Notamacropus eugenii: one gene and its partner. The protein of the gene in region 1 purifies or fractionates together with the protein of each later gene. This does not show direct contact. Links are inferred from orthologs where the notes say so. Each region holds a gene or a part of one and is shown on either strand. Other genes may lie near its edges.

Evidence for each region.
Region 2: the proteins of KIF23 (region 1) and ECT2 purify together in Homo sapiens (co-immunoprecipitation; 3 studies listed by BioGRID and IntAct, with this or other methods). This does not show direct contact. The link is inferred for Notamacropus eugenii from reciprocal best matches to the Homo sapiens genes KIF23 and ECT2.

What each region holds. Positions count from the first base shown.
Region 1 is NC_092872.1:132,836,253-132,852,874, forward strand, and holds the start of KIF23 (kinesin-like protein KIF23), read left to right. Parts: upstream 1-8,782; 5' UTR 8,783-8,896; coding exon 8,897-8,907; exon of another isoform or gene 8,908-8,908; intron 8,909-14,483; coding exon 14,484-14,553; intron 14,554-16,622.
Region 2 is NC_092877.1:351,525,948-351,542,402, reverse strand, and holds the start of ECT2 (protein ECT2), read left to right. Parts: upstream 1-8,608; 5' UTR 8,609-8,755; intron 8,756-14,717; 5' UTR 14,718-14,739; coding exon 14,740-14,872; intron 14,873-16,455. UniProt on the Homo sapiens protein: Guanine nucleotide exchange factor (GEF) that catalyzes the exchange of GDP for GTP. Promotes guanine nucleotide exchange on the Rho family members of small GTPases, like RHOA, RHOC, RAC1 and CDC42.

The DNA of each region.
Region 1 (16,622 bases):
TATGTACACACACATATGTACATATTCCATAGACTTTTAGAAAGTCAGAGTTGGGAGGTGCCTTAGAAAAATCATCTAGTCTAAACCTCTCATTTTATAGATGAGGAAACTGAGATCTAAATAAAGTGTTTGATATTGAACCCCAAATCATAAGTTCAGTTGTTCCTAGGTCTGTTTAATTTCTCTAACAGGTTACACAAATAGTCTTTGTTTTCTTGTCTGGTCTCTTTTCTTTTTTTCCCCTTCCCTTCACTGCCACTTCATTTTAAGACCAGGGCTTAGAGAGATAGGGCAAAATTCTCCATGAGGAAACAAATATTCAAGCATGTACTTCCTCACCTAGAGGAAAAAGCTTGAATTTAGATTCAAACACTGGAATAGGTAAGCCACAGTGGCCTTGTAGGTTAACATCTTCCTAGCAGCTCAACATGTGTAGGAAGTTTTTTGGTTGTCACAGAACCAAGATTTAAAATCTCACTGGGTGCTCCATGGAGACGTTAACACTATTGCCATTTCACATTTATATATTGCTTTTAACTTTTCAAAGTGCCTTTGAATTTATTAATTTCCTGGGGATTCGCTGGATATTCTCCCCATGTGAAAGATAAGAAAACCGAGGCTCAAGGAATTGGAGGAAGGGCAGTGTTACTTAGTCAGCAATAAATTCTGTTTGCCTCAGAATTGCCTTATTTAGACGCACCTTAAGGGAATGTGATGGAAATTATGCCTATTGTTTCTCCAAAGGTGCTGTCACCAAGGGGAGAAGGGCAACAACTAGGGAAGGATAAAGAGTTTTGATGTGAAAATCATAGGAAGGGAGAAGGATTATTTTCAATAAAAAAAGGATCTTCCTCTTTCCTATGTTGAATATTGCCTCAGTTTTAAATATACTGCAGGGATTAGTGTTAGTGTGCCAAGAATGCTAAAGGCCAAAGAAAGAGAATGTAAGATATGCCAAAGAATACATGAAAATCTGCCCATAGGGAACATCTTCAGCATTCATCAGTTTAGTATTCAATATCTCAGTTCATAAGGATTTTCCCATCTTGGTTCAGACGGTTTCCACTTCTAAACAGGATTAAAACTCTTTGTATTCATTATTTGTTTCAATACAATGCTTTCATAGGACTAGGGTTAAGTGTCTGCAGAAAGTATAGAAATTGTGAGACAATAAATTTATAATGGACCCACTTATAAACTCTCCTCTTTCAGATCATATTAGAGTATAATTTTTTCTCATTCATGAATACCCTAAATATTTCATTTGAAATGAAACTGATCAAGATCCTAGAATAATCGTGTACTCATTCAGGTAATAATTTATTATAGATGCATAATCAAGAAATATAATTTCATGATATTATCAGTTTACTTCCTGTGGATAGAGTAGACTGGCAAAATAAAATTATGTAGGTCGTACTCTTTGGTACTTTATAGTAGTCTGCACTGAAGGATGAGCTATTGGAATATTCTTACATTAGAGATATTAGACCTTTATTGGCTTAGCTCACTCTTACTGTAATCTTAAATCTGTGGTGAATATGTTCAGTGATACAAATTTTAAATGCTTTTTTCTATTTATGCAAAAGACATCATGGTGATGACTGCAATGTTATTTTTATTATGTATGGTTGCACAGTGATGACAATTTGCTCAAGAATTGGATCAGAAATGATTAATGAGGACTATTAGGTTTTTATGGGGTAGATGTGAGTTATCTTTCAACTTGCATGTGACAGAATAAATTGTTAAAATCGACAGAATAAATAACCAATTTTTTCAAAACTTTCTACGTTTGGGTATATTATATCTTGGTAGAGGTATAATGCATAAGATTTTTTCATAAAGTTTATGGTCAAAGATACAAAATGACTTATAAGACATGAATTTTAGAAATTTTCTTCTAAAGTAAACTAAGAATTATTTACAAGTTCAAGAAATATCACTTACATTTCCTTAGGGATAAGAACTGGACCTTTGGGCTCAGTGATATATATATAGTACTTACAGATGAGGGAACTTTCTACAAATAAAGTTCAGTTCCTTCTCTGTAACTTATCAACAGACTTGCCTACAGTTAGAGCTTTGAAAGGTTAAGTGACTAGTCTTGGATCACCTAGAACTTCTTGATTTTGGGGGCCAGCTCTATATTTATTTACTCTACCACAACGCCCTGCCCCATCCTCTCTCCTCTCTCCTTTCCCATCCCCCTCTCTCTATGGAGAGAGGTAGAGGGGATACAGATATAATAAGCAGTATCATATAAAATGATATGCAGTTATGTCTTAGTACCATTAGAAAGCTGAAGGAATGGCAAGCAGTTTACTGATACACCCAATAGGAGTATATCTTGTTATCCTCAATTTTCCTAACATTGCAATTAAGGTAGATTATGTTTGGAAGAAGTCATTTATGTTCAGATCATACTGATCACTTTTAATCAGTACCTGAGAAAAGGCTGTAACTCCTTAAGTAGCTATGCAATGTCTCTTTTCTGAATAAATGAACTGATGCTTACTGATAACAATATAATGATAATTTGGAGAACCTTAAATGACTGTGGCTATAAAATTGATATGAATAACGTTTGGTCTACTGATTAGACCACAAACATGAACTAGTTGAATGTTGGTTTCTTGCCAGAGATCCATTATGGATGAAAAGATAAGGTCAACTGAGCCCCCTTTCTAAATAAGAGATGTTTTTCAAATTGTGCTCCCTGTATAGATTTCTTGTTTCTAAAAACATGTAAAATAAAATTTATTTATTATAACAATTCATTTTCCCCATGATTTTGGTCATTTTTTTTTATCACTTCATAAATACACATTTATTTAAGAAGGTTGATGACAGATAGTTCACTCATGTTGGTTAAGAGGGTTTTCCTTTTAGAAATACAGTATCAGAGGTTTTCCTAGATAGAAAAAACATGTCAATACAGCCTTACTCTGTCAGTCTGAGGTGAATTTGGATAAGCTTTATTTAGCTACTTAATTTGTCTATTAGCTCAATTTAGGCACACGTGCCACTGTTGCAGTCTGAAATGGCCATCCATCTTCTATATATCAAACATATTTTCCCTTTGTGTAAACCTTGTTTAGACATATCTACTCCATTAAGACTCTAATGTTCACTTCAGATCAAATAATGGTCAGGAAGTACAAGAAATGACTGTAATTCTTTCAACCTCAAATGGCATAAGAGGTCAGCTAGAAGCCCAAGGGCAATAGGTAAGACAGGCCACCAGCTAAGTCAGCATCTGCTAGTGCCACTAGAGATGGACCTGGGACAGTGTTTCCCAGGAATGCTGTCTAGAGGCAGTATGAGCAGAATCTCCCCCTGTAAAGCCTCAGGGTGGTCAGAAAAGCCTCAGGATAGGAAGCTGGGAACCAGAAGGCATCACTACAACAGAGACCAGAACACCCCAGGCCCAGGGGGCTCAGAGGCTTCTAACACTCTGTTCTGAGATGCTACAGAAGGTCCTGAAAATCCAACGCTCAGAACCTTAAAGATCAGGAGTTCTTAACCTTAGAAGTGGTTACCAGTAGAATGCAGATGACCGAGGATAAGCCCAAAACCATTGCACACAAAAGCACATTAGAGACTGTCACTGTCCTAATTCAAGAGCTAAAGCTGGAGAAATAAGTAAATCAAAGAAAGGAGAAATCAATATCAAAAATTATTGTAAATCTAGAGATTCCCCCAAATGAAAAAACATGTAACTATAACAGCTGCAAGCAGAGGCACCAAGGAAAAGAAATGGATTTTGAAGGAAAACATAAAAAGTGAAATAAAATCTCTCCTGCAGGAAAGAATTGAAAAGGTATTAAATAACTTAGACGAGAATGTGGTAAACTTTATCTAAGAAATAGAAACTAGAATAAACCAAAAAAACCCCAAAAAACAAAAAACCAGTGACTCCATGAGATGGCAAAAATTATTATAACCAAATCAAAAAGGTAAAATACAAGATATTTGTTAATAAAAGCCTACTGACCTGGAAAATAGATCCAGGGGAGATAATTTATTTTTCTTTTTTAAAAAATTTAATTTTAGTTTTCAACATTCACTTTTAATAAGATTTTGAGTTCAATTTTTTCTCCCTCCCCTCCCCTCTCTGCTCCCCAAGATGGCATATAATCTAATATAGGCTAGAAGTGTACAATCATATTAAACATATTTCCACATTAGTCATGTTGTAAGGAAGAATCAGAACCAAAGGGAAAAACCACAAGAAAGAAAAAAACAAAAAAAGAGAGAGAATAGTATGCTTCATTCAGACTCTATAGTTCTTTCTCTGGATGAAGGGGAGGTAATTTTAAAATTACTGGATTTAATGAAAACCACAGTTTTTTTATAAAAGCTTATACACTATAATTTATTATTTTTTAAGTAAAGAGACTTAATTTTTTTTAGTTCTGAATTCTCTCCCTCCTTTTTCCCCCTCCCTCACCCAATGAGAAAGCATGAAAAACAAAACTTATTACAAATATACGTAGTCATGCATGACAAAACTGCATATTAGCCATGCCCTCTTCCCCTCTAAAAAAGCAAGAAAAAAATGCACTCTGAGTCCATCAGCGCTCTCTCTGCAGGTGAATAGCATGCGTCCTTTGGAATTGTGGTAGGTCACTGTGGTGCTCACGTCGTTGTTCTCCTGGCATTGCTTACTTCATTTTGCAGCAGTTCATAAAGGTTTTAAAATCATTTCTTTCATCCTGTCTTACAGCACAATAGTATTTGTCACATTCGTATACCATAACTTGTTTAGCCATGCCCAATGGGGATCCCTTAAGTTTCTTTGCTACCTTAAGATTCTTTGCTACCACTAAAAATTTATTTTTGTACATATGGATCTTTTTCCTCTTTCTTTGCTCTTTTTGGTGGATAGCCTGGAAGAGAAGTGAGGCTGGTGAGCTGCACAGCCCTCCCTCACTCAAAACAAAGTCAAGTGCTAGTCATGTCATCATTCCTCTGAGGGTATGGTCCTCTTCGGCATTGAAGGACGAACACAATCCTGTGAGTAGATGCAGCTGGCTGAATAGGGACCCAGCTAGCTGGGTAACTCAGCTTCCCTTCCCATCTTTTCCGTTTCCAAAACCTTAAATCTACTACACTCTGAAGCTAGGATGACAATGAGCCCCTGCCCAAGGGCTCTTCTGGACCCTCCTTAGCTTTAGAGTGATTACCAATAGTAATTGTTGCTGTTTCCCACCCACCCTGATGTCTTTGTTTTTCTTGACCTTATTAAAGGGGCCATGACCTGGCTACTTCTTAAACAGGACTATTCAATGAATGGGCGTTACCTCACCCTAAGTGAGTGCCTGCAAAGACCTTGGCCTAAAGGGCCCAAGGTCACCTAGTGCATCCTTGGTCATCTCCAGTCATCCTGAGAAATATCTGGTCACTGGATCCAGATGGCTCTGGAGGATAAGTGGCTGGTGACCTTGCACAGCCCTCCCTCACTCAAAACAAAGTCAAGTACAACTCATGTCATCATTTCTCTGATGGCATGGTTTTCTTCAGCAATGAAGGACAAATACAACACAAGGTGAATAGCCTTAATAGTTGTACCTTTGCTGGGGCAAAGGATATGCAGTTCAATAGCCTTTTAGGCACAATTCCCAATTGCTGTCCAGAATGGTTAGACTGATTTACAATTCTACCAATTGCATTAGTATACTTGTTTTTCCCTTATGTTATTTTCTTTTTTGTCATCTTAGCCAATATGATGCATATGAGATGGTACCTCAGAGTTGTCTTAATCTGCATATCTCTATTGGTGATTTACAGCATTGTTTCATATGGCAATTGATGGCTTTGGTTTCTTCCTTTGAAAACTGCCTATTCATATCTGTTGATCATTTATCAGTTGGGGAATGGTTCCTATTATTGCACATTTGCCTCAGTTCCCTATACATTTTAGAAATGAGATCTTTGTCAGAAAAACTTATGGCAAATAATTTCTCCAGTTTCTTGTTCTTCTTACAATTTTAGCTGCACTGGTTTTGTTTGGGCAAAATCTTTTAAATTTTAGATAATCAAAATTATTCATTTTACCTCCTGAAAACCCTTGTATTCCTTCCCTTATCCATAGATGTGACAGGAAAGTTTCCCTCTGATACACTAATTTTTTTATGCTAGCACTTTTTATTTCTAAATCATGAGCTCATCTTTGAGCTTATGATGGTATATGGTATGAGATGTTAGTCTATGCTAGTTTCTGCTAGATTTCTTTCCTGTTCTCCCAGCAGTTTTTGTCAAATAGAGCTCTTGTTCCCTGTAACTGGGATCTCTGGGTTTATCAAACACAATGTTACTGTGTTCATTTTCTTTTGTATATTAGATACCTAATCTGTTTCACCGATCAATCTATTTCTTATTGAGTACCCAACTTTTCTGACAATTACAGCTTTGCAATACAGTTGACATCTGGTACTCTTAGTCCCCCTTCCTTACCTTTTTTTTTCATGGATTCCCTTGATATTCTTAACCTTTTATTCCTTCATATGAATTTTGTTATTTTTTTCTAGTTCTATAAAGTAATTCTTTGATTATTATGGAATTGAATAAGTAATATTGCCATTTTTATTATATTGGCTCAGTCTATTCAATTAATTTTTCTCTGATCTGTCTTTGTCGGAAAAGAGTTTCAAAACTGTGTTCATATAGTTCCTATGTATGTTTTGGCAGGTAGACTCCCAAATATTATAGTGTCTGTTGTTATTTTAATAAAATTTCTCTATCTCTTCCTGCAGGATTTTGTTGGTAATACACAGAAATGCTGACGATTTGTGTGGTTTTATTTTGTATCCTGAAACTTTGCTGAAATTGTTCATTGTTTTGACTACTTTTTAAGGTGACTCCAGGTTTCTCTAGGTAAACCATCATATTATGTACAAAAAATGACAGTTTTGTTTCCTCATTGCCTATGCTTATTTCTTCAATTCTGGACATTATACTTTAAAGAATTATAAATGAAAATTGCCCAGATCTGTTACAACTAGGGGACATAATAAAGACAGAACCTACTAATCATCTTCTGAAAGAAACCCCAAAAGTGAAAGTCTCAGGAATGTCACAGTCAAAATCCAAAAGCTCCCAGATCAAAGAAAAAAAATATGAACTACAGTCAGGATCACATAAGACCTGGTAGCTTTTACTACAAATAGGAGGGATCTTGGAATACAATGTTCCAAAAGGCAAATAATCTGGGTTTACAACCAAGAATAAATTACTTGGTAAATCTGAGTATAATCCTACAAAGAAAAAAAAAGTGAACCTGCAATGGAACAGAAGACTTTCAAGTATTTCTGATTAAAAAGATCAGAGTAAGCAGATTAATAACTTTGAAATATTAACAGTCTAGAGAAACCTGGAAATGTAAGTTTATTTGAAAGGAATTGAACAATGTTATTAACATGGAAAGACAAAACGAGTGTCCCTTTATAACCTTAATCTTTTTAAAGAGTGTGAGGGAGTAAAACGGTGATGAATATGGGTAGGGGGTAGGGCATAACATGGATTTGCTCTGAGGGTTGGAAGGAAAGAAAGAGTAAAAGCAGAATATTACTAATGTGAAAAGGAGGAAGAAGGGCATGAAACCACTATCATAACTGGGGAATAAGAAAAGAGCAACATTGTAACAACAGAGTAACAACATTGTAAAGAAAAGCACCGTTGAAAGACTTAAGCCTGATCAAAGCCAAGATCAACCACATCTCCAAAGGGTCTATGAAGAAACTTTGTTTTCCACTTCAGGACAGGGGTGATGAACCAGCACAAGGGTGGCAAAAAGAGACATAGAATTTTGCTGGCGTACCGAGTTAATTGATTTTGCTTGGTTATGTTGATTGTTGCAAAGGTTTCTTCACCACCTTGCTGAAGACTCCTCCCTCTACACCTCTATTATCGTAATAGCCGGCGGGTGGGCTCTCCCCACTCCAGTTCATCCTCCCTTCTACGGTCAGAGGGATTTTCTTAAAACGCAAGTCTGACCGTGTCACCTCCAGATCACTTCGAAGACAAATACATAAAATCGCCCGGCATCTGGAGCTCTTCATAATATGCTCCCCCCCAGTCTCTCTCTTTCTTTCTCAATAACGAATAACCTGACGCTACCAGGCTGCTTTCCTGGTCTCCAGAAACTCATCATCCTGAAATCCTCTGAGAGACGCAGACAGACAGACAGAATTACCTGCAGCCCTCTCGAGGCTCTGGCTGCCCCCAGGCCTATCACGCTCACGTCCCAGCCTCCCCAAGGCCCCGCTTCTGCTTGTCCTGTCTCTACCACGTCTGTCTACAGCGGATGGCACGCTGCCCACCGGCAGCCTGGGAGCTCCTGGCTTTCGCTTTCCCTGGCACTCGGGAATCGTCCAGCGCTGGACACTGGCTCGGAGGGAGGATGGCGGAGGGGACGGACACGTGAGGGGAGATGAGGAAGGCCGCAGCGTAGCCTCACACCGCTCAGTACGTAGGCAGACAAGACCCGCCACCCAGGGCGTTTGGGATTGCGGGGCGCGAGTACCAGAAGTCGGGTCACTGTTTTCCTTCCGGAAGGGAAGTTTGCCCCTCAGCTGTTGGTTTCCTTGGAAACGAGTCCCACTTCCGTCCTCGAGGGGGGACGCTTCCCGCCCGAAGCCACACTCTTTGCCCCGCCCCGGAGCACGTGGGGGGCGCCGTGGACGCTGATTGGTCCGTTTGAAATGCGCCGGGGGCGCGCGCCCGCCCGGTCCGGTTTGCCTCGCTGGGCGAGGGTGAAGAGAGCGACCGTTCGGCTTGTGCGTCAGGGAGCTCTCGGGGACCCGAGCGCGGCGACAGAGACCCCCCAGCCTTCCCGCCAGCTGGCCCCGAGCTCTCTCCGCCGCCTGCCGCCGATAGAGCGCCCGCTGCGGCCATGAAGCCAGCGTGAGTGTCCGCGTCGGGATAGCGCGACTTGGCCGCTGGGCTGGGGGAGGGGAGGGGAGGGGGCTCCCGGGGGCAGGGGTCGGGCCCCGGGGCGAGACCCCCCTCTTTTCGCCCCGGAACGGCGATCCCCGCGAGTGCCATCGCCCGGGCTCCCGCCGGGAGCACAGCCTGGGGAAGGGAAGGCGAAGCCTTGGGGTGCGTGGGGCAGCCCCCCTCCTTCCTCGGGGCTAGGAATGGGATGCGTCCCTCCTCCGCTCCCTTGTCTCCAGACCTGACCTGGCGTCCTCCTGGACTCCGAAGGCCTTCCCCATGCTTGCCCCGCCCCTTCCCACTGTCCCCAAACTTTCTTCAGGCAAACTTAGCAGAGGAGGTAACGGAGGCCGGCTGCCCTGCCCCCCTCCCCTCTCCCGGTCCGGTTCCGCGCCCTTGTGAGAAGGGGAGGCCAGGCCACCCATTTTTATTCATATCTTTTGTTTTTACTTCACCTTGGATTTCTTAAGTGAAGTCATCCCTGTGAGTCATCTGCCCCTCTTTTAAAAAGGGGGAGAGGGAAGCAGCAGTAAAACCACCCATACATTAACTTTTTCTGATAAGACTTAGTGCTGTGGGAAACTGCTACGATTTGGGGGACACCGTGTTATTTCACACTGGTAGTTCCCGTCTATCACTCCTTTACCCCCTTACCCTCTCCCTCCCTCAACCCCCTCCTGCCCCTGGCAAAGAGACTTCAGCCTTTTTTTTTTTTTTTTTTAAATTTAGAGGTCCTTGGAGGGAGGGTATTGTATGTAGGTCTTTTTTGTTCTGGTCTTAAAAAGGATAACCCTGGTATTGCTTAGAGATGTAGACTGGTGCAATGAAGGAAGAACTGGACCTGTATTTTAAGACCTGTCTCTGCCAGATACTGTATGACCTTGGACAAGACAGAGCCTCTGTACACCTTAGGTTTCACCATCTGTAAAAGGGTAACAGCTACCACTCCTGCTTCACAGTGTTGGCTCTGAGAAAAGCCTTTAAAATGCTAAATATGGGCTATTATTGAGTACTGTTAGATGATGTACTGTCATTTAATTGTCTGGGAATCAGAGTAGTAGAGAAGCTCATTTGTAGGGTGATTATTATCATTCTTTAACTGGAGCAACTCTGTAAACTCTTTACTAAGGGGTAAAAGGTTTGTGATCTGCATCTGTAGAATTAGCTCCCACACCATTAAAATCACAGATTCTTGAAGATAGAAACGTCAAGTCCTACCTCTGACACTGAATGAGCTGTGTGACCATATTATTTAAGGGGAGGAAATGTGACAGGTACTGTGTTAAACACTTTGCAAATATTATTTGCAATATATTTCAAATATTATCTCTGTATCTCTGTATAGAAATGCAGCTCTATGTGTAACTCTCTATAACTAATTATAATTTATATATGAGCTGCTCATGAAGGAGAGTGGCCACTTTCCTAATTAGTAGATTGCTATTGATGAACTCACAGTTCTAGACCAAGAGATAGAAACTATAGACGTAGTGAAATGCATTGAAAATACATGGAAGTAAAAAAGAAAACCTGTTAACAAGTAAGAAATTTATGGTTTAGGGCATAGGTATCTGAATAGGAAGCATAACTTTTTGTAGGAAGGAAATAATGGTGTTTGGTCTGAGCATTCATTCACCCATTAATCTCCCTCTATTTTACCTATTGCCATCAGACTTCTTCCTACCACTTTACTGAAACTGCACACCATTGTCCAATTATTTGCAAAATTCAGTGTTTTTAAAAGTCATTCTTCCTTACTGACCTCTCTGCAGCTTTTGATTGTTGACCAGATGCTTCTATTGGTAACTTTCTTGTTGGTTTCTCATATCCATCCTTGACTCTTTGCTTTGGAAATTCTTAAGTGTCTGTCCTTGGCTCCTTTCAATCAAAAAGAATTCATTAAGAACCTACTATTCCCATACATTGGAGATACTGGTACAAAGAATGAAACAATTCTTACTCACAGGGTACTTATAGTCTCAAAGTGAAACAAGTATATATAGAATCAAGATGGAGAATATATACAAATTGGTTAAATATAAGGTTAAATATATAAATTATATAAATATAATGAGATTAAGAAAGGAGGGAGATTCTGTGAGGCAGAGATGACTGAGGATACTCCATAAGTGAGGGATAGAATACAAAGGACAAAGATAGAATAGGAATTGTCATTTGAGGAACAGAGAGAAGGCTTGCTTAGTTGTGTCCTGGAGTTCAGGAGAGGAAGTAAAGTCCACTGAGACTGGAAAGATGAATTGGGATCAGGTTTCTACTAGGGGCTTTAAAGTTTATGAGTGCTCCTAAAAGAAATTGATTTGTGCTTGTCCTTCATGCTCAAAGAGGACTAAAATGACGTTACCATGTCTGGGTCAGGGTGCAGTATGTCTGACAGTGGCTGATCAGACCAGTAGGAGCTCAGAAGCTCTACCACAGTCAGGCACAAATAGTCCACATGAACATTGCACATCTCATGTTCCTTTTGAGCTGCTGTAATTTTGCTGTGCTTTATGAGCACAGCATCTTCTTGGGTGTGAGCGTGCCATGCTTGACAATCCTGTACAGTGTCTCCCATGTCTCATAATAGATTCCTTTGTTCTTCAGAGAGACCTTGAGAGTACCTTGTATCTTTTCTTCTGACCTCTGTGTGAGGATTTGCCTTGTGTAAGTTCTCCAAAAAATAGTCTTTTAGGCAAACTTAAATTTTTGAACAGTGTGACCAGCCCATTGGAGTTGCATTCTGTGCAATAGAGTTTGAATGCTTGGCAATTCAGCTTGAGAAAGAACCTCAGTGTCCCATACCTTATTTTGCCAGAGTGGTCTTCAGAATCTTCCTAAGACAGTTCAGATTCAGTTTTCTTGAAGAAATTGGGAGCCCCTGGAGTTGGAATAAGAAAGTTATAATTTTGTCAGCAGTTTACAGGGTAGATTGGAATGGGAAGAGATTTAAGGCAGGAAAACCAAGTGATGTAGGCAAGAGATGATAAGAGCCTGAACTAAGTTTGGAGCTTTGTGAGTAGACAGAAGTGGTCAGATTCCAAGACTCAAGGAGGCAGGAATTGCTAAATTGGGTAACTGTTGAATATGTGGGGGGAAGGAAAGTAAGGAATTGAGAATAGTGCCGTCTACCTTGTTTCCCATATATAGAATCTTGTTTTTTACTTTTCTCACTTTTTACTTCTAATCCACTATTAAATCACGTTAGTTCTGCCTCTTTGACATCTCTCATGTCTTTATTCCTTTTGCCCCGACTCTTATCCTACTGCCCTGGCAGCTACATGATGCAGTGAGTAGCATGTAGGGGCTAGATTCAGGGAGACTCATCTTCCTGAATTCACATCTGGTCTCATACACTTACTAGCCATGTAACCTTGGACAAGTCACTTAACCCTGTTTGTCTCAGTTTCCTCATCTATAAAATGAGCTGGAGAAGGGAATGGCAAAGCACTCCAGTATCTTTGCCAAAAAAAAAAAAACCCATATGAGGTCATGAAGAGTCAGACACACAACTGAAAAATAACTGAACAACAAAATCCTACGACTCACCTAGACTATTGCAGTGGTCTTCTTAAAAGTCTTTCTGCCTGCACTTTCCTTCCTCCAACCCAATCATAGCCAAGAATAACTTTTCCAATAACTTTTTACTTGTTCCTTATTGCTTAGTAAACAAAGATGTTTTCTTTGCTTGGCATTCAAGGGCTGCCACAGTCCAGTGCCACCTTACTTTTTTAGCGTTGTCCCATATTGCTTCTTTCTGTGTGCTCAGTTCCCTCTTTCCTGGGTACCCACCTACATTCTCCTGCTGTGTTCATTCTATTCCCTACTCTAGGAATGACCTACCCCCTCCTTACCTGTGGATTTCTTCCCATCTTTTAAAAAACCAACTCTGATGTCACTTCCTCCATGAACATCTTTGAGAACTGCTCTTCCCTTCTGCTTTAATAACATTATTTCCTTTGGAAATACTTTGTTTCATAAGTCTCATGTACTTAGTTGTAACATTCTATATGATAATTTTGTTTTGATATTTTATCTCTACTAGACTATATGCTTCATGAGGGACAGAGACTTTGTTTTGTATGAACTTTGTATTTTGGTGATAAGCACAGGAATTTGCATATAGGAGGGACCTAAGTATATGTTGAATGTTAAATTTAGTGAGCACCTTTTGCATGTATGGTATTTTGTTAGTTACTGTGGGAGGCACAAAGATGAATTAGATGAATTTTTTCCTCTCAAGGAAAGAAAATGTAGGGGAGGTAGAACATACATATAGGCAACTGTGCAATAAAATATGATCCATGCGTAGGAGAGGTACAAGAATCAGTGGGATTTGGAGGAAGGAGACCTTGATTTTTCACTACAGAGACTGATCAGGAGTGGCTTCATGACAGAGGTGTCAAAGGGGGTTTTGAAGAATGACTCTGATTTCAACACATAGTCATGAAAAAAATCAGGTTTTTTTCTTGAAACATCATTTCTTTGGTTAAAAATTAATTATCCATTTTCTGTGGAGTTTTTTTTTTCCCTGGACATTGACTTGTTGGATTGATAACATTAGACTTAGTTTTCCTGTTCTTTGAGGCTTTTTTCAGATGAGAGTAAACAACGTTCACCTTCAGTTCTTAGTTATATGTACATTTTCATTTGGATTATTCTCTGCAAATTTTATGTTAACCACAAGCAAATAAGAAAGCTAATTTTAATATGAACTTATGAGTCTAGTTTTTTAAAACTTCTTTTAGAGTCAGTAGTAATGGTTAACATACATTCCATTCATTAAGCACCTACTGTGTGCTAGGCATTGTGCTAATCACTGGGAGTACAAACAAGAAAAAGAAAGACAGTCCCTACTCTCAAGGAGCTTACAATCCAAGGAAAGAAGACCACACAGAGAAGGAAGCTGAGAAGTGTGTATGAGTGAGTGTGCTAGAAAGGGGTGAAGAGATGCACCAGGAGGCATTAAGTTTTTTTTAAAGTTTTATTCCGTTTGAACTTGGGGGAAAAAACATTTCTAAGTACACAGCACAATATAATGAGAGGATTCAATATAAAATCATAAATTTTCATTTTGTACTGTTTACTTTTGTTGGAAAAAACTACGTAGTACTCAGAGTGGAGTTGAAACCTAGCAGAGCGATAAAAAATGGAGTCACCTGGAAAGTTCTGAGCCTTCTCCAAAGCTCCAGTTCTCCAATCAGAGGGGAAAGGGATCTTAGGGGATTAAGAAGGTGTTGAGTGTCAAAAACTGAATTAGTCTACATGATGGTGAGATTTCAGGTGATTAGGTTATCCCAAGAGAGGCAAGAGATTCCATAGAATTGAAACCATACAGAGCTACTGATGATCTTGACAGTGATAGTGCCTTGTTAATATTCCATTATGTATGGATTGAAGAATGAAAGTTTATTATCACTGTATATTCTTTTATTATTATTATCATTATTAATAATAAGGAAGATTGTATAAAAATAGGAAAATTAAAGGGAAGAATTTGTTTTTGTATGCTAACTTTGCACTAAGATTTTGATTTCTTTTATGACCAGGAAAAGTAAAACTCCTAGGAAGCCAATTCTAAAGAAAGGAACCCAATCAAGTCTCAAAGATCCAGTTGGGGTAAGGTCGCCTTATCTAATTTCTTTTAACTGCTCTTTTATGCTGTATTTTACTACTTAAAAGAGTAAGAAAAAAAATGTGCAAACAAATTAATTGAAGTAGGGTTTCTGTGGCCAAAGAATTCATCATTTTGTGGCCAACCTGTTGTTAATGAGTCTTAGATACTCTGGCTCTTAGGTAGCAGATGCGGTTTGTCTCTGGGTATTCTGAGCCCTTTATTTTTGTAGAACATGCCAGTGCTTGTGTTCTGTTGGTATGGACTTTTAGAACCCAGGGTTTTAACTATGCTGTGATCATATGTAGTATAGTGAAAAGGGGACTACATTTGGAGTCAGGAAAGGTCTGGGTTTGAATCCTCTTCAGTAATTTAGTAGAAGTGCAACTGTGAGCACATTGTTTTATTCTCTGTTTCTCAGATTTCTCTATCTGTAAAATGAGATTACTGTTGCCTATAGTACCTGCATCACTGAGTGGTCATGATCAAATGCAATCGTGTAAGTAAAGGCATTAGGTGGAAACCTCACTTAGTCTGTTTGTGGTCAAGGAAAAAGAAGGGATGGGAGAGGATATAAGAATTGACTGCAGAGTCCTAATTATTAATTAACCATATTTCCAACTGCCTGTATTCATTGAAAAGTTTGCAGGTTTATGTTTTTCAGTTCAAAATAGTGCTTCATTTTAAAGATCTCCTTTGTCTTGGGCTCGTAAATGTGCCAGCATTACAGAGTGAGGGGAAACTCTTTGTATTTCAAAAGAGTGCAGTACAATGATTAATTTCAAAGTTTTGACTTCCTGCTTATAAGAAAATATGCCAGAATCATAGAATCTGAGTGAGAAGGGACCTCAGAGACCACCTACTTCTACCACCTTCTCAACAAGCTAATGATGAGGTTCGTCCCCCAGCAGCCCATTCTGCTTTTGAATAGTTCAAATTGTTAGGAAGCTTTTCTTGTTTGGAGCCTTAATCTGCCTTTTGGCAACTTCTTCTCATTGCCTTTGGTTCTCTTTCCTGAGATCCAAGTCACGGTTCCACCAGACTCGTCTGAGATTTACTTTTATCTGCACTGTGTAGATAGAGGTGTCAAAGGGATGGCAAGCTGCTTTAGAACACAACCAGAATGAAGTGTAATTGGGAAGGGCAGCGAGTGACAAGGACTTGAGTTCAAATGCAGCCTCAGGCACTTGATATTTACTAGTTATGTGACCCTAGGCACACCACCAAAAAACATAATTGGGAAATATTTAGCAAAATAAATAAAAATGCCGTAAAATAGAGGTAGTTAATTTTAAATTGTAACAGTTACATTTTGAAACTCAAGTCATTATGTAGTCTGCAGGGATCCTTAGTCTTGGTTTAGCGGCTTCTATTTGTATTCGGAACTGACACTGCTGTTGTAGATGTCTTATATATACGTAGTTGGTTGTTTTGTTTTGGTTTTTTTTGCATGTTCTGGTATTCAGTAGAATAAAAACTTCTTGACGTCAGGAACTTTGTTTTATCTTTCTTTGTATCCCCAGCACTTAGTGCAGTGCCTGTCACGTAGGAAATGCTTAATATATGCTTATTGATTGATAAAAAGTCTTAATCCTTAAATTCTTCTTAGAGTTCTTATTTGTATGTAATGGTTCCTTTCACAGCAGTGCTTACCTAAAACTGCAAATGCTCCCTTTCTACTTTCAAGTGTAGGCCTGTGAGTTTAAAGTTGGCTTCTGCACATAGTATGTCAGCTGATGGAAGTTTCTATGATATAGGATGTTTACTTCAAAGTTATACTCAATCATGAGTTGAAGAAAGATTCTCTGAAAGTAATAAATAACTTTTACCAGTATTTGAAAATAAATATTAAGCCTTACAGAAGTAAGGCTTAATTTATTTGTATTAGTTGTTAAATTGCAAATTTAATTGCTGTACACTTCAGAGGTCTATCTATTGTTGATTATTAATTGTGTTATTTTAAGTTTTTTTTATGAAAACCTATTTTAATTTAACTTTAGACATGTAAAATTTTGAAAAGTTTTAAGTTGTAGCTCTATTTTTGTACGTACCTTTTCTCATCCTAAGTGATGTG
Region 2 (16,455 bases), on another chromosome or scaffold:
AATATGTGGTAATATTGATGAAAAATAAAAGGAAAGAGTAAATAATAATGGAAAATGAGGTTAAAAAAGACCCTTTCATTTTTATTAGCAGATTCAAGTTTATAAGTTTATATTCTTTACAGTAGCATATTATGGAGAGAAATTATCTTTTTTTAAAGAAAAATTAACATAAAATTATTCTCCTTAACTCTTTTTTTTTTGAAACATAGGGCATACTTTGTAAATAAAATACAAATTTCATTTTATTGTATTGACTGTATTAGGAATATCATAAAATTTAGGACTGTAGAGATCATAGGATCATAGATGGGACTTCAGGGGTCATCATTTCCAACTTCCTTCTTTTACAGATGAGGAAACTGAGGTCCAGGGAGGTAAAGGGAGTTGTCCAACTAAGGTCACATGGGTAGTAGGCATCAGAGTCCAGGCTGGAACCCAGTACCCTGACTCCAAAGGCAGTGCTCTTTGCACTGTACTATACCTAGTTCAATTTTCTCAGTTTAAAGATACAGAAACTGTGACCCATAGAAAACTAATTTGCTGGAGGTCAGAGACAAGAAGCCAGGATATGAATCCAGGCTTTCTGCAACCCAACCTAGGGCTCTTTCTGTCAGACTCAGGCTGCCTCATTGGCATTGTGTGCCACAGAAAAGAATAATTTTTCAGAAACGACTGAAATGTTTAGATGTGGATTCAGGCAGGTATTCTTCAGAGTTCCCTGTTAATTATTGGCAAGAGGGCTTCTAACATGGGAGGCCCATTTTTCCTGTTCTGAATTCTGGATTCTAGGTTCTTTGCAATAGTTAAATCAGTTCTAGATTTTCAACAGCTTGGTGTAGTGGATAGAGTATTGGTCTTTAAGTTAGGAAGACCTAGGTTCTTATCTTGCCTCTGACCCTACTTAGCAGTGTTGGGGCAGCTAGGTGGTACAGTGGATAGAGCACCAGTGCAGGAGTCAGGAGGACCTGAGTTCAAATCTCACCTCAGACACTTGACACTCACTAGCTGTGTGACCTTGGGCAAGTCAGTTAACTCCAGTTGCCTCTTCTTGGGTCATCTCCAGTTATCCTGAAGAATATTTGGTCACTGGATTCAGATGGCTCTGGAGGAGAAGTAAGGCTGGTGACCTGCACAGCCCTCCCTCACACAAAGTCAAGTGCAAGTCATGTTATCACTTCTCTGATAGCATGGTCTTCTACGGCAACAAAGGACGAACACACACTTAGCAGTGTGACCACTGGCCAGTGGTCTCTCAGAATCTCACTTTCCTCATCCATAAAAATGGAGATAAATAGAACTGGCTCCAGAGGGTGGAACAGGCTTAAATGAACATGTGTGAGCAAACCTGAAGAGCCACTTAAAACCTCTTGGGCTCATACTCCATGTACACTGCACCATGAGCTCCTCTACTGAGGGCTCCTTTTTTGGATCCAATCGTTATTCCCTGGGATCCTTCATTGGGGCTGTATTTACATGAGGTCAGGAGCTCAACAATTTTTATAGGAGGGGAGAAGGGTAGAAATTTGGGAGACCTATGAAATGAAGCAGTACAGATGACTAGGAAAAAAATTAACACTTGGAGAAAATGGGGAAGGGCCTGAGAGCCAGTGGGACGTGCAAGAGCTTTGCATCTGTAGTCATCAAGCCTAGGTTCAAATACTGAGTGCTATCAATTAACTGTGTAACCCCAGGCATGTTACTTGCCTTCTCTGATCCTGTTTCCTAATTTTTAAAATTAAGTCATTGGACTAAGTAATCTAAGTCCCCTTCCATCGGTAAATCCTGTGAAAATGCAATGTAATCTGAGGGACAGAAAGTCAGCGTGATCAATAGTGGGGCCAGGTGGTGACTTTGCCATTTAGGATTCTAGGTCACACTTGCACAGTTTGGACCATCAGGGAAAAGGAGATCCACATGTGGTTAAGCTAATCAAACTATGACTCAATCGTCTCCCTAACATGTGAACTGTATGGAATATATATTAAGGTATGCAAAGCACTTTCTACATAAATTACTCTCTCATGAGAACTTCCACCACCCTGTGAGGTAGAGACTTACGGATATTACTCCCATTTTCAAATGAGGACATTGAGATTCAGAAAAGTTGTTACATGACTAGTTAACTATCAGAGGCAGGATTTGAATCCAGGCTTTCCTTTCTTGTCTCCAACTGTAGCACAATAGCCTCTATCTTGGTGCCTCAGTACCCTGTTTATGAATGAAATTATCTTGTCAATCAACCAATTCCTCAATCAAGTGTTTGTTGATGACCTCCTTTGTGTGAAGTTCTGTAAGGAAGGAAGGAAGGGACTGGGGGAGGGACAAGGATGTGATCCTTGTCTCCTGGGAGCTGTCAGACCAGTCAATGTGCTGAATCTAGAAGTGAAGGGTTTTCAGTTTCAGTTCAAGCTCTGCCAATAATTAGTTGGGTTCTCAGAGGAAAGTCACCCAATGTCTTTGGACAGGTTTCCTTGTGTGTGAAATAAGGAATTTAACAGATTCCATCATTTTCAACTCTAAAAAATATTTGATAACATAGAATTCACATTGTACATGAAGCTATTTCTGTGTTGCTATGCTCAGGGGAGAGAACACTGGGCCTGGAGTCAGGAAGACCTGAGTTCAAATCAGACCACAGATACTTACTAGCTGTGTGACTCTGGGCAAGTCACTTAAAAATCTGTTTGCCTTAATCCACTGGAGAAGGAAATGGCAAACCACTCCAGTATCTCTTTGCAAAAAAACCCCATGAACAGTATGGTTCACAGGCTCATGAAGAGTAAGACACGACTGAGCAACAGAAGCACCAACTTAATCAGTTGAAAAGTGAAAAAAACAAACCTCGGTTAGTCATAGGACACCAAGCAGCCAATTCAATATAAATTTTCACTTATTTGAATTTTTTTGTTTTGAAGCTGAGTTGAGTAAATTGGCTTCTGGTGCTAGATTTTATAGAAATTACACATGTGTATTTATACTTTTATACATTTATACTACAGAGGATTATTTACAGCCTACTGAACCAAGTGTCCATTATATTGTATATTGATTAATTGATAGGTCACAGATTAGACAGAAAAGTAGATGATAGATTAGATAGGTAGGTAGATAGGTAGATAGATAGACAGACAGATAGATACTTTTATCTTTTGAGGAAAAAGTGACAGTCTTGGTTTTAAGCTTAGCCATTTGCTTCAAATGACTAAATCCGTCCAGAGACACCAGTAAACAATTCCCCTACCTAAAATTCTACCTAAAATATTGATTCTTAAAACTGAAATAATTTGCCACCACCCTCAATGCACATATCCTATTTCCTCTCCTGACCTACTCATCTCTAAGAATTAATATTAATAAGATATATATCCTAGACAAATAGAAATAGTTCGCTAATGTGTTGATATGAAGCTGGTGACATTGGAGAGAAAAAAAAACACATGACACTGGAAAGTTTTAACATGAGGTTTCTCCTGCATTTTAGAGGATATGATGAACTTCAGTCATCACACAACCATGACATTAATAGTCTGATTCTTAAGAGCTTGAGAAACTCACAAGTGAGCCTGCGGAGCAGTATTTCTAGGTTCCTATAGCATAACTACATGGCCACATCACAGGGAAGCAGACAGCAAATAACTCGGCTCAGTCAGATTCAGCTGTAGCCATGTTGAACCTCACCACAGTCTTCTGGAGGAAAAAAAAAGACTGTCATAGGGACAGTCATTATCAGCATGGTTCAATGGAAGAAGAGAGGAATTGGAGTCTGAGGACTGGGTTCATCCTTGTTCTGGTACTTTCTTTTTTCATGGAGGCTATCAGGGTTAAATGACACAGGATCACACAGCTAGTAAGTATCTGAGGTCAAATTTGACCTCACGTCCTCCTGACTCCAGGGTTGGTTCTCCATCCACTATGTCACCTCGATGTCCCATTTTCTGTCCCTTCTTACCTACATGACATTGGCAAGTCCCTTACTCTGTCTGGGCCTCAAGTTTTTTTCCTCTGCAAAATGAAAGGCTTTGACAAAATAACTTCTGTGGTCCCTTTAAGTTCTAAAGCTATGATAACCTAAATAGTAACACCTGATAAAGGTGTTTATGACCAGAAGGCTGGCACAGTCTAGTGGATAGGTCATTGGAATTGTAATCAAGACCTGTGTTCAAATGCCACACAGACACTAGCTACGTGACCTAGATGAATCACTTAACCTCTGTGCCTCAGTTTCCTAATCTATAAAATGATGTATTTTGACTTGATCTATAAACTCCTTTCCATCTCTAAGACTATAAATTTTATGATATTTAATCCTTTTACATTTAGATTTGTGCATCTGTGCTTATCTCAGTTTTGAACTCATTTAGTACTATGGAAAGTTCTTGAAAAGCCCAATGTTCCATGCATGTATAAATCATTTTAAAAAAGCCTATGATTTACTCATGCCTAGTGAAGAAACTTCCGCTCCCAGTGCAGATCAATACCTGCTCTGTAATTTACAGCCAGAGAATTGCCTAAGGTACTAAGAGATTAAACGAGTCTTTGGGATCTCTAGCAACTGCCTTATAGCTACCTCTTACTCTGATTTCTGAAATGGGGAAACTTTAATCCTTTAAATCTAGGGTGAACCAGTTATAGAAATGATATATAATGAGATGGGCTGAATACAAGAAAGTCAGTAATGTGTTCCTATCTTTGGATAAAAGATATTTATGGTGTTATACCTGTCATGTCATAATTAAGGTTACTTCAGGAAGGTTACTTCCTGAACACAAAATTGAACCACAAAACTGAATGCACATTTAGCAATGGTAAAAATCTTGGTGCTTTTTATAAATAGCATCAGTTAAATTGCTGTATTTAGCTGATAAACTATTCAATTAACAGAGTTGATGGTGCTCCATTTGAAGTTGAACCCCTTCCTGCTCTGCCACTAACTAGTTTGATGTGGGCAAGTCCCTTCCTCAATCTGGGCTTAACTTTTCTTATCTGGAAAATGAAGGGGGTTGGTCTGTATGATCCCCAACATCCTTTTTGCTTTGAAAATTTTGTGAATTAAATGAGAATAATGTCCTTTGAACTCACTGTCAAACTCAATAATTCAACAGAAGCAGAACCTCCCTTCCACTTCAAGGAAAACTAATCCCATTTGTCCAAATACAACTTTAAGTGCTAGATTTGTGCAATTTAATCACGCTGTACAAATTGATTTATATCCTAATGATTTCCCTCAATGAAACAATGATTCATAGCCTAATTATTGACTGTTGATGTGTATAAAAATAGGCTCCACTGTTTTAAGATAATTGTACACAGCAGATAGGTTAAAAAAAGCCACCTTATTACAACTAGCTTGAAAGACGAATTTAATCAGCAAATTCTGGGCATGGCAAAGCAATTTCCTTTTTTTATTCATTACTTTCTTTTAGGCAAAGAAGCTTAGGTTTTTAAGCTCCTAGGCAAACTCCTCTATAAAATGAGGGGTTTGGACAAAATGATTTCTGAGGTCCCTTCAAACTTTAAAGCTATGAACATTTAAACAGTAACACTTGGTAAAGGATGACCAGAAGGATGGTATGGTACATTGATAGCATGGGGAACCAATGGCCTCAAGGCCACATGTGGCATTCTAGGTCCTTGGGTATGGCCTTTTATGACTGAGTCCAAATTTTTCAGAACAAATACTTTTATTAAGGAGATTTGTTCTGTGCAGTTTGGATTCAGTCAAAGGGCTGCACTTGAGGACCTAGAGGGGCATATGTGGCCTTGACCCTCAGATTCCCTACCCTGGGCATAGTAGATAGGTCACAGCTTTTGGAATCAGGAAGATGTGGGCTCAAATCTCACTTATTAGCTGTGTGGCTCTGGTTGACTCTCTTAATTAGGAAGTAAGATTGGATCTTGTTAAATCTCTACAGAATTTCTGTAGAGATTGTGCACACAGGCAGCCCAAGCCATAGGGTCGTTTCTCACTGAAAGGAGCAGTGGGACTTGGTGGTCCCCTGGGTGTGTGAGCAGCCTTTTAAGAATCGAACTGCTCACCTCCTAATGTGAGGAAGAGGGCTAGAAAAGGTGCCCTAAAAATTATCTGCTAACCCAACACTGGCCTGATTACCATGGCAGGTGGGGAATTCTATTCTGCCGTCGAAACACAAAAAATGTACAAAAACATCTGCAAAGATGATCCCACTCACCATTGGCACATGGAACATGGGCACACTTATAGACAACACAAAATCCAGTAGACCTGAAAGACGAACTGCTCTTGTTGCAAGAGAACTCAACAGGTATCTCGTCCAAATAGCAGCCCTGAGTGAAACCAGGCAGGCAAATGAAGCCCAGCTTACTGTAGCTGGAGTTGGATACAGTTTTCTGGAGTGGCCATGGTGAAGGGGAACAGAATACAGAGACTAGGCCCTTAATAAATGGTATATTTTATTTCTAAGCAAATAATGAAAACTACATTCATTAAATTCAAACTTTAATTTATTTAGCACATACTATATGTAGGAGACACTGAGAGACAAAAAAAAGAAAAAAAATAGTCTTTATTCTTAAGGAACTTCCAGTCCACTGGGGAAAGCAGCTAAGCACATGGCAAATTATGTTCTAGCAATGGTGTGTGAATCCAGGGGTGGAGTTGCTATTCTGATTTGGGGGCATCCCATCTCTTCTAGGGGGTGCTCTTTTTTCCTAGTTCCTTCCTTGGGTGGATTCCAAGGGGAAAGCTATACCTTTCTATCAATGAATGAATGAATGAATGATCTTTTACTGAGCACTAGCACAAAGTACCGGAAACACAAATACGGAAAAAAAAAGCAAGACAGTGTCTGATGTCTCCGAGTGAGAGAAAGCCTATCTAAAAGAGATCAGGTGCAAGGCTCAGGAGGTCAGTGCTTGGGGTATGGAGGGTTTGGGTTAGGAGGCTTGGTAGAGTTCAGACGCCTTAAGGAGGCAGTGGCAGGGCACCTGGTAAGTCCTGGTCTTTCACTTCACTGAAAGGTTTGTAGTTTATAGTTAGTGACTGAGCTCATCCTAAGGCTGGGAGCAGCCATGTCCAGACACTTAGCTCTTCCTTATTGGGTACTCTATTGATCTGGATGAATCTTACCTGTTTGTTGAACTGAGCTAGAGTACTTAGTTTCATCCAATCTAATAAGTATTTATGTGCCTACTATGTACAAAGCACTGGGGACATAGATAAAATGCAAAACACAACTGTGAAAGGGTCCAGGGTTGCATATTCTGCCTTATTAAAAAACACAAAAACCCCACCAAATCTAATTCTTTTAGAATTAGGGCGATGCTTCTGGATGACCAAGTGTTGCAGTATATAGTGCTGTGACTGGATTCAGAGAAGCCTGAGTTCAAATCCTGGTCAGACACTCAGTGGCTGCGTTTGCCACACTTCGGTTGTAAAATGGCCAGAGTTAAGAACACCTACGTCCAAGGGATGATGGTGAAGCACCGAGCACACTGCCTGGCTCACAGTAAGCACCATGTACGTGCCGGCAATTATCTTAAGGCAAGGGGAAAGTCTTTGGATCGTCAAAGGCACTGAGGAAGCCTCAGCAGCCGCGCTTAGCGAGGCGGACTCGGTGCCCACAGCAGGATATCCCTCCCAAACCTGACATTTCCTCGGATCCAGAATCACAGATAAGAGATACGTGGGTCTGGAGGATGCCTGAGGGGCAGTCCACGTGTGAGGAGTCCTTGTCCACCTCTGGCAAGGAGCGCCCCAAGGGGATTCCCCGCCGGCGCCCCAGAACCCAGCACCGCTGCTTCTCCTGCCAGACCCCCCTGGCTCTGGCCACGGCACCGCCAGGGTGACCCGGGGCTCTGCTCGGGCACCCGTCCCCCAGCACGCAGGGGCTCCGCCTGTCACCGCCTCTGCCCGGGACTTGGGCTGGCTCCGCGCCTCCGGACAGGCTGGGCAGGTCACCTCGGTCCTCCCGGCGATGCCCCGAGCCCAGAGCCGCCCCCGGGCGGGCCCACGCTCCGCGGGCGCAGCCGGGGCTTCTCCAGGCCTCCCCCCCCATTCCTGCGGCTCTGACGGGGTGGCCCCAAGTTCTCTTACGTCCCCTCTGCTCTAACGTTCTAGGTTCTCCCCCTCTTCCCCCCGCTCCCGCTTGGTTCTGAACGTCTTCTCTGGTTGTGGACCCCACGACACAGGAGACGTGAGAGCCACGGCGGGAGCGCAGTCGGACGTCAACTCTCGGGGAACGGACCAGGGCCGAAAGCTCGGACTGAGCCGCAGGAGGCCCGCAAGAGGAGCCGGTACCGGACGGCGGCCCTCTGCGCCTGCGCAGGTCTCCCCAGCGTGGCCGCGGACTCCCGGAAGTGGGATGTGGGAGGCCGCAGCCTCCGCCGCGGCAGGCGCACCTGCTGCTACAGGGGCAGGGGGCGGCCACATCCGGGCATTTCTCCCCCCCCCCCCCCCCGTTCCCCTGAAGTTCAGAGCCGTTGGCCAATTTGAAAAGCACGCCCAGCCAATCAGCCTGCACCCACGGCGGCGGAGCGAAGGAAGGAGGGAGGGAGGGAACAGGTGGAACGATGGCGCCCAATCAGAGACCGCTCGCCCGCCTCGGTCTCTCGGACCAATGGGAAGTGAATTGACAACACGTGCGCCTCTCCTGGGCCAATGGGCGAGCCCCTTAGGAGGAGCCGCTCACTTTTGAATTGGCGGCGGCCGCGGCCGGCGGGGAATGGCGGATGCGTCTGGAGGCGGTGGAGGCCAGACTCGCGGTGACAGCGACAGCGGGTGAGGAGGTGGTGGTTGTGGGGGGCAAGGGGTCCAGGGGCTGGGCTCGGGGAGGACGTGCTCTGCGCCCCCGTTCCCGCCTCGGCTGGTGCGGGCGCGGGAGAAGCCGGGGCTGGGGCGCCGCCCTCCTCTCCCCCCTGGGTCAGGCGCCCATCCTTGACCCTTAACCCCGCTGGGCCTCGGTCTCCCCTTTTGTAAAAAGGTCTCAGCGCCCCTCTCCTGCCGCTCGAGGGTCTTGTGAGGCGCTGGAGTTGGGGCGGGCTTGATGTCCACCACCCCATCCCCCTTTTCCGCGGTGGGGAAACTGAGGCCCAGGGAGGCGGAGAGACTCCCCTGGTCTTGGGGGTGTAAGTCCCATCACCTCCCTGGGTCTCAGTTTCCACTACTGGCAAACGGCGCTTAGCACACAGTAGGCGCTTAATCCGTGCGCACTGACTTGGGCCGGATCTCCCTCCAGGTCCAAGTCCCCGTCTCAGAGGCTGGAATCTGCCCCCCTCACCCCCACCCCCAAGTCTAGGGGAAGGAAGGAATAGACATTCCATGAAATGATCCGGGGGTGGGGCCGACTCAGCCCCTCCCTCCCTGTCCTGTACACCCGTTCACTTGCTTTGAAAAAACAAAGGGAGGATAATATTTTCCTCCTATCAAGCAAAATCAGCAGGCACTTATTAAGCGCCTACTGCACACAGAGTCAGCGCTTAATAAACGTAGGATTGGATCTCGGGTGAGAGGTGGAGTTGGCTGTAGATCTCCCACCGAGCCCAGCCCCAGCCCAGACAGTTACTGGTTGTGGGCCCTCTCAGAGCCTCGGTCCTTGTGCCTAGTTTGCTCACTTGGACTGTGAATGGTGATGGACTCTCTGCAGGACCCCTGTCAGGCTCATTGTGAAAGCTGCTGCATCCTTGGGCCGCATTAAGCAAGGCCTGGGGGCCAGGAATGAGCTGTCCTGGGCAGGACTGGGGTCGGAGCTTTGGACCTGGAAGGGACTTGAGAGCTCCTGCCTTTGCAAAAAGGCATCGACCCACGACATTGGAAGGTTGTGTTCATTAGTCAGGACGCTGATGAGCTCTAGCAAGTGAAAAGGGAAAGGGAGGGGATGCTGCAGGAGAAAGAATCTAAGGAACTGGGGATATTTAGCCTGGAGGACTTGGGGGAGAACTCTAACTGCCTTCAAACATTTGAAAGGCTGAGGAGGGTTAGCCTTGTCTAAAACTAGGAGCAGTGTAAGGGAAAACTTCTTCGCAAAATGAAAGGGACTGCCTCCCAAGCAAAGGCTTGGATGATCGCTGGGGTGGCACAGTATGTTCTTGTTCTAACTGGTGGACTGTCAGCCTCTTCCGGCCCTTCCAGGTCCCAAAGAATGTAACAAATCTTAAAACGCTGTAGAAAGGTAAAAGTTATTACTATGATCACTCAGACCTGAGCTAATCCAACCAGAAGCAACAGAAGTAGGACAGATTGCAGTTATTATTCTCTCACTGTCACCAGCTAGCCCAGGCATTCTAGTTCAGTCCTTCTGCCTGGAAGGTAATTCAAGGTATTTCAAGACCTCTGTTGAAAGGAAATCTAAAGAAGAGAGCTTTTTTAAAATAGCAAATTATGTTTGACTTAGAAAGTGATTTGCAGCCTTTTATCTTTCATCAGACTTGCTAGAGGGGGGCTTGCATATAGGAGCTTTACCTAAGTAAATTACAAAATGTATTTTGAGGAGTAGCAAAAGGTTACTGTTGCCACTTTAAATACTATGTAAGTTTCTTGAGGAAGCTCTATATTCTTTCTTTGTATCCCAAATACCTAGCTCTGTGCCAGCCATAGTAGACACTTAAATTATTTGTTAAATGAATGAGGGCAAATGATACTTTTGTTTATTTCAATTCTCGACTTTCCAACGAATCTTTGGATCTTGTTTATTATCATAGTTCTATCACTTCTCTGAAATTCCATGGAAATTCTTGAGTCAGAAACTGACTTTGGAATAGTTTGAAAGAGCTGATTGAGTAGGGTACACTTGGGGAAACATTAGTTTTAAGATAATTCTTTTCACGTCCTTTTAAGTTTACATTTTTCTTTATTAGTTTTAAAGAGACACCATGTAAAGTATGTCTAAAACTTAAAAAAAAAAAAGCAAACAATTTTTTTTCCTTTACTGGAATTTCGAACAGCATTGAGGGCAGACCTGAGGGGAGGGGAGAAGATGAACTAAGGGTTCAAGATGATTTGAATGGTCCCTGTTGCTTTAAAAAGTTGGTCAAAGATATTTTCCCAAGAAAAATTTCTCTGAACTGACCTTAGAGTCTGTTTACCTTAGAGCTCCACTAAAAATTCTGTAGTGAGAGTCCAGTAAATGTAGTTTGTAGATGTAGATTGCCCATTATCATCTTAGGAAGTTCTAGCCTCAGTCAGGGGCTTTAAGAGTTCCTTTCACATATATTGGAATGATTTGATGGTTTCTGTCATCGTGAAGGTTTTTTTTTTAGGTTTATCATACACCTGATCCTTAGCTGAGTCAAAGTTACTGTTAGAACTTATGATTTTATATAATAAGCATAAAACTGTGCACAGATGCTTAATACATGTTTGAATAAGTCTCATACCAAATAAAGACCATCAGGAAACAAGTGTTTTTGTTACATTTGATATCTTAACAATTATCTGAGTGCTTTTTGGGAAAAACTTAGACACTATTTCTAAATTATTAGGAATTGTAATTAGGTATTAAAAATGAGGATAGCAATAGTATGCAAACCGGGAAAAATGAGAATTTGTAGTACTCACATAGAATTCACTTTTGAATAGAATGAGACCGCTAAGTCTAAAGAAGACCTTATTGTAACTCACTTGGAATGCTATTTTCTGTTTTGTTCAACCCCACCCCCTTCTCTCTCTTCAACTCATATTGTCCTAGAAATAGACTGTTTGCAGACTGATGCCAAGCACCAACCTGTGCAAACTTGTCCTCTTTCAAACCATTTCAGGAGACATGGCTAAATGTTTCTCCTAGCAGCAGGATTTCCGGCTTCATCTGAAGAGAAAAAAATCTGTATCTTAAAGTTTTCAAGTAGAATTGTGACTGAGAAAAGATCTTTGATTCAGATCAGTCAGAAGAGAATTTATTGTTTGCCCCTGTCAATTTAAAGGCAAATATGAAATGGTCTGTGTCCTCCAGGGGGTCACAGTCTATTGAGGGGATACTATCAATCAGCAAGCAATTGTGAAGCACCTACTGTGTACCAGGCACTAAGATATAGGGAATACAAAAGATAAGTGAGAGCATCTGCCCTCAAGAAGCTTATGTTCCAAAGGGAGAGAAAATATACATGGTAATACATATAGAAAACATACAAAATAAATGGAAGGAACTTTGGGAAGGGGGTGCACTAACAATTCAGTAGAGTAGGGGAATCCAGGAATTGTTCTGTGGTACATGGCACTTGAGTTTGTCTTCAAACGAAACTCAGAAATTTCAGAGGTGGAAGTGAGAAAGGAGTGCCATGGGTTCAGCCAGTACAGAAGCACCCACATGGTCATTGTAATGCCCTGTGTGAAGAACAGTGACAAGCCAATTTGGATGGACCAGGGAGTTTGCCTGGAAGAGGGGTTGTTGGTCTGAGCCAATGCTAAGCAAAGCGGTTGTATTTTATCAGAGAGAAAATGGGGAGACATTGGAGTTTACTGAGTAGTTAGACCTAGGCTTTGGCAGCTCTAGGGAATGGATTGGGGAAAGGAAGACAGACCAGTGGTTCCCAAATTGTGGTTCCTGGATCTGGACCTGCAAGGTCAAAACTATTTTCCTAGTAATACCTGAGATGTTATTTGCCTTTTAAAATACACATCCCTTTTCTAATTACATATCTGTGTGAGGTCAGATTTCTTCATATACTGCAACCAGAAATTGTAATAGGAGTTTGAATGCAGAAATAGATATGAGAATCCAACTGTCTTCTATTAAGCCAGCCATTAAAGAGATTTGCAGAAATCATTAAAACAGTCCCACTTTTATCACTAATTTTTTGGGAACATATAGTTATTTTTCATGAAAAATATTATTAACATTTAGTGATTTTCCTGTTTTTTAAAATAAATTAGTAAATATTTTAAAAATTTATGAGTTTTAATTTCTAACATTTTTATCAGTAAATATGAATACATTTAACCCACGTAATCCTCTTTGGAATCCTCAATAATGCTTAAGAGTATAAAAGGACCAAAAAGTTTGAAAATGGCTGGATTAGGTTATTACAGTAGTTCAGGTGAAAGGTGACAGATGAGGACTCAAACCAGGATAGTAGTTGTATTTTTAGAGATCTGAACATGGTCAAGGGATGTTTATCACCTGCATAGAGATAATTGAACCCATAGTAGGTGAGGTCACTAAGAGGAGTATAGAGACAACAGGGCTCAAGACAGCCATGGGATTCAAGTGCCAACTCTGATATGTACTAGTTATGTTAGCCTGGGGAAGTTGCTATACTTTTTGGTGCTTTAGGTTGGAGTTGTGGATGGAATTGTTATTCAAATAGGTGTTCATTCAAACCAATCCATTACTGAGATTCTGTGAGGTGGGAGGGATACTCATTTAAATGAATACTTGTTTTAAAAGTGAAAAATACTGTTATAATGTGAAGAAAGCAGCCAGCTTGAATGGAACCTGTATTCATGTCCAGTATAGAATCCTCTGAGGTTTAACCTTGTAAAGTAGAGATCTGGTCTTAGACCCTAGCAGAAAGGAAATTAGAAAATCATTTTGGGATCATTTGTGAATTGAAGTACATTTGTAGATGAATGTTCAGGATCCTTCTCATAGCATAGACAGTTACCATCAGCAATATAGCTACCTTTGTTTTGATATTATTTGAGTCTAGAGTTAGATTCTTGGTGTGGTATCCCTACCTCAAAGGTAAATCAGCCTTTTCATCATGTGCAACTGTCCTGCCTCTTCCTCCACAAGGTGGGGAGGGGGGTCAGGAGGAAGATGGCTTATGATTTGACAAGCTCTTCTAGGTTCCACTTTGGTGGACGGCTGGACACTCTTGGTTTTTTCTTGTCTGATAATTAACTTCCAGGGACAGTGTGCAGGCTCTCCAGACTGGATAACAGTGTGGTCTAATGGAGAGAGCACTGGGTTTGGAGTCAGAAGACTAGTCTCAGTTTTGCCTCTTCTAGTTATTGCTAAGGGATTAGTTATTCCTGTTTACTCCTTCACTTCCTTCTCTGTAAAGGGAGGGACCTGGACTATATAGGACCTTTGAGGTGATTTTCAGGTCTAAATCTGTGATCATGGAAATCACCTAATTTTACATCCTCCATATAATGCCTGAAACTGAGCACATAAGAACTGAATTTGTGATTTCACTGGCTGCAACATCTTCTCAGCAATTGATGGCCTAAGAGAGTTCATCAAGGTGTTGTGAGGTTAAATGACTTGCCCAGGGTCTCACAGCTAGTATGTTTTAAGAAGGACTTAAACCCAGGGCTTCCTGGCCCTAAGACCAGCCCTCTGTTCATACACTTGCATCAGGAAGAAGAGTGGCTGGAGTATTTTTTCTGTCAGCACTTTAGATTATTGGGAATGAAATTATATATCGAGAATGGGAGAATGCAGTGATGAGTGTTTGTGTTTATGTATTATCTTCAGTATTATATATTGGGTTATAAAGGAAACATCTTTAAGATTCTTGACTTTTTCTTGAACTTCGTTATGTATTTTTACTTCTGATGCTTTTATATTGAATATTAGTAAGGAATACAATGAATCTCAATATTAATTCTGTAACTGTATACATCGGACTACATTTTATACTGATAGACATTGAAGATGCTTAAGAAGTAATTAAATGATTTCTTTTTAAGAAATTGTGGGTAAAAGCAAATTTATCCTAAAACAATGCTTAAACTTGACTGGATAAAAATAATTTAAAAATAATGTTGCTATTCTGAATTTAAATTTCTTTTGAACTTTTAGGTAGAAAAGTTGAGAAGAATCAATGATGGCTGACAATAGTATATTAGTATCTACTGCTGGGAAGAGTCTCTTGGCAGATACCTCCATTTTTGATTCTAAAGTTCCTGAAATTTCTAAAGAAAATGAGCTTATTGGATCCACTTCAGATGCTGATGGTAATTATCAAAAAAATTTCATGTTTTTAAATGTTTTCAAAGCTGAATAATTTTAAAAATAAAAAAAGGGGAATGAAACCTAACTTTGAAGGTGGTGGCTGCTCCCTTTGGCTGCGTAGGTACTTGTTGGGTTAGGAGGTATTGAGGGTTCACTTTCTCATGTGAATTGGACTAAATGGCTGCTGAGGTTTCTTCCAAGTAAGATATTTTGTGTTTCTGCTTTAACAAGCAAACTGTCTGTGGAAACTGTTTGTGCTCTTTAAAAGAACCACCAAATATGGGTATCTTATCAGTAAATGTTTATTGACTCTGACCATGTTTTAGGAAAATAAATGGCACAGAAGGCACTTCGAATTTATGTTTATGTCTGGGTACAGTAAGCCTTTGTTGTAACAAAGTACTTAAATTCAGTAGAGCATAAAGTAGATATACCTGGTCTTCTGTTAACTTTTACCTTTAACTTTTTTTCCAAATGGATTTCCCAAATGATCTAAAGTGAAACTGTACAAAAAACCAATTTCATCTCGGTCTACTTTAAGAGGGTTATGATGGGTAACTCTAAGAAGTTGATGGTATTCCTATACCTTTCCCTCGTCAGACCACATCTGGAGTGTTGTATTCAGTTCTGGGTACCACATTTTTAGGAAGGATATTGATAGACTGGAGATTATCAAGAATGGGGCAACCAGGATGGTGAATAGCTGCAAGACCTTACCATATGAGGATTGACTAGAGGAAATGGCGATATTTAGCTTGGGGGGGAAAAACGTAACATGATAACAGAAACCATGTCAAACGTGTCATGTAGAAAAAAGGGGGTTGCAGAAACAGATTTAGGCTTCTATATAATTAGAGGTATATAAAATAATTGACTGTCTAGAGAGACTGTTAATGGAGTCTATGTCATTGGACCTTTTCACTGCCTTGATGACATTTGATGAGAGGGAATTCTTGTTCAGACACTGGTTGGAATAGATATCTCAGATCAGTTGGTGAACAAACCTACTAGCAGCCAGGTACTATGTTAAGTGCTGGGGATACAAAGAAAGGCAAAGAGCAAAACAAACCACCCAAAACTCAAAGCAACAGTCCCTGCTTTCAAGAAGATAATAATCTAGAGGGAGAGACAGCATGAAACCACTCTACCAACAAGGTGTAGACAAGATCAATTGGAGATAATCAATAGAAGGAAAATATGAGAGACTAGATGTTCCTATAAAAGGTAGAATTCTAGCTGAGACTTAAAGGAGCCAGGGAAGCAAGGAGAGAGAATTCCAGGCATGGGAGACAGTCAGTAAAATAATTTTGAAGATGAGTGACTGAAATTCTATGTCAGTATTCACTGAACAGGCTAGTCACTGATTGAGAGTAGCTCTAGTGTATTTGTAACTTTTCTGCACATGTGTATTCTGTTTTGTTATTGTCACATTTTTAAATCCCAAATTATATCTTGTAATATTTTCCCTGTCCTCTGAAGTGATATTTGGTAGTTCCACCTGTCGTTGCCTCCCAATTAATTAAAACTTAATTGCTACAGGACATTTTAGAGGGTGCTAATCTGCTCCTTGAGTGAACTGAAGACA